Callithrix jacchus: one gene and its partner. The protein of the gene in region 1 purifies or fractionates together with the protein of each later gene. This does not show direct contact. Links are inferred from orthologs where the notes say so. Each region holds a gene or a part of one and is shown on either strand. Other genes may lie near its edges.

What was found.
Region 2: the proteins of COPS3 (region 1) and COPS7A purify together in Homo sapiens (affinity purification with mass spectrometry; 14 studies listed by BioGRID and IntAct, counting the BioPlex papers as one, with this or other methods). This does not show direct contact. The link is inferred for Callithrix jacchus from reciprocal best matches to the Homo sapiens genes COPS3 and COPS7A.

Annotation. Positions count from the first base shown.
Region 1 is NC_133506.1:62,410,497-62,414,340, forward strand, and holds part of COPS3 (COP9 signalosome complex subunit 3), read right to left. Parts: intron 3,677-3,844; exon of another isoform or gene 3,556-3,676; intron 1,756-3,555; exon of another isoform or gene 1,737-1,755; coding exon 1,607-1,736; intron 1-1,606. UniProt on the Homo sapiens protein: Component of the COP9 signalosome complex (CSN), a complex involved in various cellular and developmental processes.
Region 2 is NC_133510.1:20,915,237-20,919,865, reverse strand, and holds the start of COPS7A (COP9 signalosome complex subunit 7a), read right to left. Parts: upstream 2,973-4,629; 5' UTR 2,839-2,972; intron 2,730-2,838; exon of another isoform or gene 2,685-2,729; intron 2,437-2,684; 5' UTR 2,394-2,436; coding exon 2,232-2,393; intron 1-2,231.

The DNA of each region.
Region 1 (3,844 bases):
GGGTCTTGCTATGTTGCCCAGGCTGGTCTCAAACAGATCCTCCCACCTCAGCCTCCCAAAGTGCTAGGATTACAGGTGTTAGCCACTGTGCCCAGCATCTGCTCTTTCATATAAGTAAGAAAATAAGGCCGGGAGCGGTGGCTCAGCCTGTAATCCCAGCACTTTGGGAGGCCGAGGCGGGTGGATCACGAGGTCAAGAGATCGAGACCATCCTGGTCAACATGGTGAAATGCCGTCTCTACTAAAAATACAATAAATTAGCTGGGCATGGTGGCGCGTGCCTGTAATCCCAGCTACTCAGAGGAGGCTGAGGCAGGAGAACTGCCTGAACCCAGGAGGCAGAGGTTGCAGTGAGCCGAGATCGCGCCATTGCACTCCAGCCTGGGTAACAAGAGCGAAACTCCGTCTGAAAAAAGAAAAAGAAAATAAAGACAGTAGAAATCTTTTTTTTTTTTTTTACAGAGTGTTGCTCTGTCACCAGGCTGGAGTGCAGTGGCGCAATCTTGGCTCACTGCAACCTCCGCCTTCCGGGTTCAAGTGATTCTTCTGCCTCAGCCTCCCGAGTAGCTGAGACCACAGGCACGTGCCAGCATGCCCGGCTAATTTTTTTGTAATTTTAGTAGACATCTTTACCAGCACTGTCCAACAGAACTATTTGCAGTGGTGGAAATGTTACAGATTTGTGCTAAGACATGGACATGTGACCACATGTGGCTACTGAGTACTTGAAACATGGCAAGTACACCTGAATCTTTTTTAATTTTAATTTACATAGCTGCATATGGCTAGTGGTCACCATACTGCAGAGCATAGCTCTAGATCCTTCTATTCTGACCAAGTTTCTTCTCTAAACTCTACTCTGCACACATACCTTTGTCTCAGGAATCCCAGCATAAGTGAAGCCAGACTCTCACTTTAAGTCAATTTCTTCTCAGTTTATTTATATCATTTAATTGTCAAGACAACCACAATATCCCAATTTATAATAATATAACATCAAGAGAAGAATTCTACCACCAAGTACACAGTTATAAGGACTCCCAATTAAAGGAAGCTCTATTTAATTTGGTCTTAAATAGCTTAAATTTGTCTGAAGGGAATTCTAAGCAACATTGCTTGGGATCTTTGATATTTTTTCTTGTTTTGAGACAATGTCTGATTCTGTCATGGAGGCTGATCCTACCGTCTTAATTGTAGCTTACTGAAAGCCTTGAACTGAGCTCAAGCCATCCTCCCACCTCAGCATCTTGAGAAGCTAGGACTACAGGCATGTACAGCTACACCCAGCTAATTTTTTTATTCTTTGCAGAAATAAGGCCTTGTTATGTTGCAAACTATAGGCCCCACAATTGAGATGGCCATTTTTTAAAACAAATTTTCAAAATTTGTATAAACAAAAAGGAGTTTATAAAAATGATAAAACTGAACAAAATACAACAAGCAATGATTAGTTGGAATGAGTAAAATGTAACTACTACAACTTTAGTTTTGCAAAGGAGCTCAATGTTGTTTCTAATGATTTACTTTCTACACCAAAAATAAAGCCAGAAAGTGCAGAGTGTTCAGTTTTAACAAGCACAAAACTATAAAAGAAGATGCCCCTTACAAAACAGCAAGGACGCCCAAGGAGTGCTCTTGTACATCCAGAGCCCCGAGCACAGTGTCCAGATGGGATAAGTTCTTCGCAAGGAGTTCCCCACTCTTGTTGATCAGTTCACAAAGCTGTGTCATTTGCCCTGGAAAACAGGAACAACACTATTGTATTTCAGCTACAGCACTAACCAAACTAAAGGAACTCCAACCACAGCTTTGTACTTCAGAGCCTGAAGTGCTCAAAAATGACTTACACATTCTTCATTTCGGATGAGGACCCAGAAGGACCAGAGGAGGGAAAGAACTTGTCCGTGGTCTCAAAATGAGTTAGAGATTACACTGGACCTTCCACTTCTCTCTGAATTTTTCACATTTTCCTCTATTCCGTTTTCCAGTCTCCCAAGCCAGAAATGTACATGTTACTATTAGCACCTCTCTGAATCCAGATGATTTAGTTTTACTTTCTCTCTCAGCTCCATTCCTTTTTCACTTCCCTCCCTGCCTTAATTCAGATCCTCATCATTTTTTGTCTGGACTATATCATAAATCTTCTTCTTCTTCTTTTTTTTTTTTTTTTTTTTGAGATGGAGTTTCACTCTTGTTGCCCAGGCTGGAGTGTAATGGCGTGATCTCGGCTCACCACAACCTCTGCCTCTGGGTTCAAGTGATTCTCCTGCCTCAGACTCCCAAATAGCTGGTATTACAGGCATGTGGCACCATGCCCAGCTAATTATCTTTATTTTTAGTAGAGACGGGGTTTCTCCATGTTGCTCAGGCTGGTCTCCAACTCCCGACCTTCAGTGATCCGCCTGCCTTGGGCTCCCAAAGTGCTGGGATCAGAGGTGAGCCACCACACCTGGCCTACATCTTCTAAATGGTCTGCCTACTACGATCTTTCTCTCCTCCAACCCACACTTCATAACCCACTAGTCTGTTCTAAACTGCGCATTCAATCGAATTACTCCAATGAGTTTAAGAAATCCAAATGCCTTAGCCTGAACTAAGGACCTTCAGTAACTGGTCCCTGCTACCTTTGCAGCCTTATCTCCTGATACTTCCCCTCACAAACCTACTCTTTGGTCACAGCAAGCTCAGAAAAATCAACATTCTATGTTCTCTCCTCTTTATGCTTCTACACATGCTGTTTTCTATCCTCCTCCCGACATCCTCTGCTACCTGACTGAGCCTCATCCAGCATTCAACAATCAGCTTGTGGCGTCTCTGGACCCTCATTTCAGTTCCCTTCCCCATGGATAAGCTGGATATCTGCCCTCTCTGCCTCACATGGGACTGTGGTGGTTAGGTAATTCAGTAAACTCAGGTGGAGGGACTGTCCCTTTCTCCAGCTCTAGAATACAGCACATGCTTAGCAGCTTATCAAGCAAGCAGCTACCTGTTGAATTAATCTCCTAACTGATCTATTTTTCCCCTATACTAAAATACTATGTTTGTTTTGTTTTCTTTTTTGAGACAAGATCTTATTCTGTCACCCAAGCTACAGTGCAGTGGTGTGATCACAGCTTGCCACAGCCTCAACCTCCTGGGCTCAAGCAATCCTCCCATCTTAGCCTCCCAAGTAGCTGGAACTACAGGTGTACGTCACCATGCCCATCTTATTTTTAAAATGTTTTGTACATTCTAGAGTCTCACTATGCTGCCCAGGATGGTCTCCTATTCCTGGGCCCAAGCAATCCTCCTGCCTCAGCCTCCCAAAGTGCTGAGATTACCAGCATTAGCTACCAAACCTGGCCTGCAATGCCATGTTTTAACAACTAAGGTACAGAATCTATTAATAATTCAGCCTCAGCCGGGTGCTATGGCTCACACCTGTAATCCCAGCACTTTCAGAGGATGAGGCAGGCAGATCTCTTCAAGACAGGAGCTCAAGACTAGGCTGGCTAACATGGCAAAACCGTGTCTCTACTAAAAATACAAAAATTAGCTGGGTGTGGTAGCACACACCTGTAATTTCAGCTACTTGGGGGGCTGAAATGGAAGAATCCTTGAACCTGGAAGATGGAGGCTGTAGTGAGCTGAGATCACGCCACTGCACTCCATCCTGGGCAACAGAGCAAGACTCCGTCTGAGGGAAAAAAAAAAAATAGGCCTGAATTGACACCATGAAGTAGATCCATCGATTTCGACAATTATTCTCATGGCAGACACCATGGTCACACTCTAGTTGGTAACAGAGGGAATATATTTAAGTCCATGGGCATTAACTCAAGTCTCCTACTTCTGTGCTTCTACA
Region 2 (4,629 bases), on another chromosome or scaffold:
CATGAGCCATTGTGCTGGGCTAATTTTTGTATTTTTAGTAGATACAGGGTTTCACCATGTTGGCCAGCCTGGTCTCAAACTCCTGACATCAGGTGATCCACCTGCCTTGGCCTCCCAAAGTGCTGGGATTACAGGCTTGAGTCACTGTGCTCAGCCTCATTCTGGCACTTAATCAATCAATCCCTGCAGAAGGTTGCTATCTAAGAATATCTTTCAAGATTATAGACCCAGTGTCTGGATCACACAGAGCTATGCAATAATTGGCTCTGAAGAAATACTTGTGGCTGAGGTGCAGTGGCTCACACCTGTAATCCCAGCACTTTGGGAGGCCAAGGCGGGTGGATCATGAAGTCAGGAGTTCAGGACCAGGCTGGCCAACATGGTGAAACCCTGTCTCTACTAAAAATACAAAAATTAGGTGGGCATGGGCATAGGGGTGCCTATAATCCCAGGTACTCAGCAGGCTGAGGCAGAGAATTGCTTGAACCTGGGAGGCAGAGGCTGCAGTGAGCCAAGATCGCGCCACTGCACTCTAGCCTGTGTGACAGAGCAAGACTCAGTCTCAAAAAAAAAAAAGTAAAAGAAATACTTGCTAAATTAGTAATTTAGATTTATATTCATTCATCTTATCTCTTCAACTGGAATGTAAGCTTCAGAAGGGTTACCTCCATGCCTTGTACGTTTCTTGTATTCCCAGACCATAAGAAGGGTAGCTCACTGCAACCTCCACCTCCCAGGTTCAAGCGATCCTATCTCAGCTTCCCAAATAGCTGAGAATATAGTTGCACACCACCACGCCCAGCTGATTTTTGTTTGTTTTTATTATACTTTAAGTTCTGGGATACATGTGCTTTTTTCTGTTGTTTTTGAGACAGAGTCTCACTCTGTTGCCCAGGCTGGAGTGCAGTGGCACAATCTTGGCTCACCGCAACCTCCATCCCCCGGGGTTCAAGCAATTCTTCTGCCTCAGCCTCCCAAGTAGCTGGGATTACAGGTGCCTGCCACTGTGCCTGGCTAATTTTCGTGTTTTTAGTGGAGACGTGTTTCACCGTCTTGGCCAGGATGGTCTTCAACTCTTGACCTCAGGTCATCCCCCCACCTTGGCCTCCCAAAGTCTGGGATTACAGGCGTGAGCCACTGCAGCCAGCCAAGGGCTTCCTTTTCATCACCTTCATTGATATTCTTTAGTTCCACTGCAGGGAAGTCAGCCAGTTTTCTCCATACCACAGAGTGATTCAAAAGTTTAACCACAGACCCTAAATAACTTAGCTCACTTTACCCACATACCACTGTCATAGCATGTCAGGACTCCTTTGACTGTAAATTCCTTTTTTTTTTTTTTTTTTGAGACGGAGTTTCGCTGTTGTTACCCAGACTAGAGTGCAATGGCGCAATCTCGGCTCACCGCAACCTCCGCCTTCTGGGTTCAAGCAATTCTCCTGCCTCAGCCTCCCAAGTAGCTGGGACTACAGGCACGCACCATCATGCCCAGCTCATTTTTTTTTTATTTTTTATTTTTAGTAGAGACGGGGTTTCATCTTGTTGACCAGGATGGTCTCGATCTCTTGACCTCGTGATCCACCCGCCTCGGACTCCCAAAGTGCTGAGATTACAGGCGTGAGCCACCGCACCCGGACGACTGTAAATTCTTAACTGCCACTTTTGTATGAATGTTCTCTCTGCTGTGTTCCTAGCAGTTTGCCATGTGTCTTTGGGAAAAAGACACATTCTCCCTTAGCTACCTTGAATAGATTAGCATATGCTGCACACAGGGAAGAACAGGGCATGCTAATTTAACATGTTCACTCTCCACTTGTACAGACTTTGCACTTTCCCATAATCTCACTTTATTTCCACAATAACAGTGAGGGGCAGTATTGTTCCCATTTATAAAAGAGAAAGCTGAGACCCTAAAACAAAAGTGACCTGATCAAGGTGACATGGCAAGAGCTATTACACTGGTGAAGACCAGCTGGAAATCAGGTTTCCCATTCTGAATAACATGATCTTTTTGCTTAAAATGAAAAATACTGGGCTTTACAGATCCCTCATCTCCAAAGGGAAACTGGTTTGCTTATTTACTGGTTACTTTTGCAAGCTGGCATTTAATCATCACTGTTTACTTGTTCAACTGAATGGTTATGGGATTACAAAATGAGCCCTGCCCACCCATTCTCTAATTCAAACCTTTGCCCACGCTTCTCTGTGGGCTATTCAGGCCAGCAACCCACCTCTCTAACATTGGGCATGTCCAGCAGTTCTCCAAACACGTAGACACCAGGGGCCTCCAGCACCTGATGGATGAGTGTGGCCAGCGCTGCCCCCTTGGCCGACTTGGCTAGGAGCAGAAACTGCTCCTGGTTCTGCCCTGTCACCTTCACTTCCGCACTCATGACTGCACTGAGCTGGGGGGACCTGGGCTCAGGATGTTCAGAGCTGTAAGGAAAGAGGACGTGAAGCTAGAGGTCCCTGATCGCTGGTAGGATGGGAAGCACAGGGCCAAGGGACTGGATTGTAAAGGCACTAAGTTTTGCATGAGTAATCAGATATGTATCGGTCTAGAATTCTGATCTAGGAATCCTAAAGTCAGTCCCCTGGGCCTAACCCCAAGCCCCACCACGTGCACCCCACTGAACCCCAAAACACAGGTTGCAACGGAGAAAGGGGTGTCGCATGGTGTCCACCCTAACGACGACGCTGCCTCAGCTCTCCGCTCCTGTCCCGCACGTGCCCATAACCACGTGACCTCACCCCCAACGAAGCTTACACGTGGCTCCACCCCCTCCCTTAAAGACACCGCCCAGAGACCGTGGGCTCCCGCCGACTGCTTCGTCGTACCCTGGGTCAGACTTTGCGGACTGCTACCTGGAAGCTTTGACCTCCAGCGCACCGGGCGGGGCCGCCGCTCAGTCACCTCCGGCAGCTGTTCCAAGCCTTTCCTGCCACCTCCCTGCAGAGTCGCTCTGGCCACTAAACTCTATGGCGGGCTTCCGGCCGTACTTCCGCTCTTACGACGCAAGTTTCGGCAGGACATGCCCCGCCCCCGCTTTCTGATCGCTGAAGCTCCAGTGCGGGACGCAGGCATTCTGCTCTCCGATTGGTCGCTGGGGGAAGAATGACGGGCCTCTTTTTTTCTACTTTGTTTCAATAAAACTTTATTGGTGGAAGAGCGCTAGCCACTAAATGAGGGTGTCTCCGGCGGGTCCCTGGTCTCGGCTGTGTCTGTTCTTAGCCGCTGTGTCTGTTCTTAGCCGCTGGAGAGCTGGAGATCAGGATTACACTGGTGCCTCAGACAAGAGAAAAGCTGTAATGGAAGGAGTGAAGAAAAGGAAAAAAACGGGATGGGGGAATAAGGGACAGAGAGGAAGCAAAAAGTAATAATAGAAGTTTAACAGCTGAGATCGCTTGGTGGGGTTCATCCACTCACTTTTTTGAAGAGCAGGAGAAACGAAGTGAGAAAGGTAAAAGAAATAATAATAGGTAACATTTATTGAGTGCTTACCATTGGTCAGATATCTTTTAAAATTTTATTCCGTTGAACCTTCACAAATGTTTCCAGTGTGACTTCAGGACACCGTCTACCAAGATTACATATATATTCATACTTGTAGAATGATGCCTTCAGTATATGGACTCTTAATTTCTTGGGGAGGAAAAGACTATGTTGTTCTCACTTTGCAGAAAAGGAAAATGAGGCTCATAAAAATTCAAAGATTTGTCTGGAACTTTTCCAACTCAAAACCATCTTTCTATTTCAACATGATACTTTTATAAAAACAAAAACAACTAACATTTCTATAGTGTGTTATATTTCACAGCAGGCTGGCAGAAGGTCCAGTGAGGGTAAAGTTTGTGTTAAGCGATGAGCATTACTTAATTCATAGGATACAACAATCTAGTAATTGTTATCTCCACTTTCCAGATGGAAAAATTGAGACCCAGGAAAATTAAGAAACTTATAAGTAATGAAAAGATAAGAAAGTTAAAAAGAGAAAGATGAAGAGAAATAGGACTTGTAGTCTGTTAGGGCTAAAGGAACTGCAGACGCAGAGTTTAGAAAGTAAGCAGAAACACAAAAAGGAAAAACAAAGGAGAAAGAGGAGAAAAAGAAACGAATGGAAAAGGTGAAACATAAAAGTGAGGAGAAGGAATCAAAGGCATAAAGGCATAACAAAATATTCAAAGTTGGAAGGAACCAAGGAATTAATGAGTCCAAACTTATTTATTTATTTATTTATTTATTTGGTGTCCACCTCTCCCCACCCCAAGCTTATCTTCTTTGTTCTCTTTCTTTTCTTTATTATTATTATTTTTTTTTTGCTGGGATTTCGCTCTTGACATCCAGGCTGGAGGGCAATGGTGCAATCTCGGCTCACTGCAACCTCCACCTCTGGGGCTCAAGCGATTCTCCTGCCTCAACCTCCCGAATAGCTGAGATTACAGGCATAGACAATCACGCCTGGCTAAATTTTGTGTTTTTAGTAGAGATGGGGTACAAGCTTATCATTTTTAAAGAGAGAAGGGAAAAACGTGTGAAATGAAAGAATGATAAAATAACCCATGTTTGTTCTATTATGCACCAAGTGTTTTATTTGTTGATTTTTTACTTTGTTTTGTTTTAGGCATGGG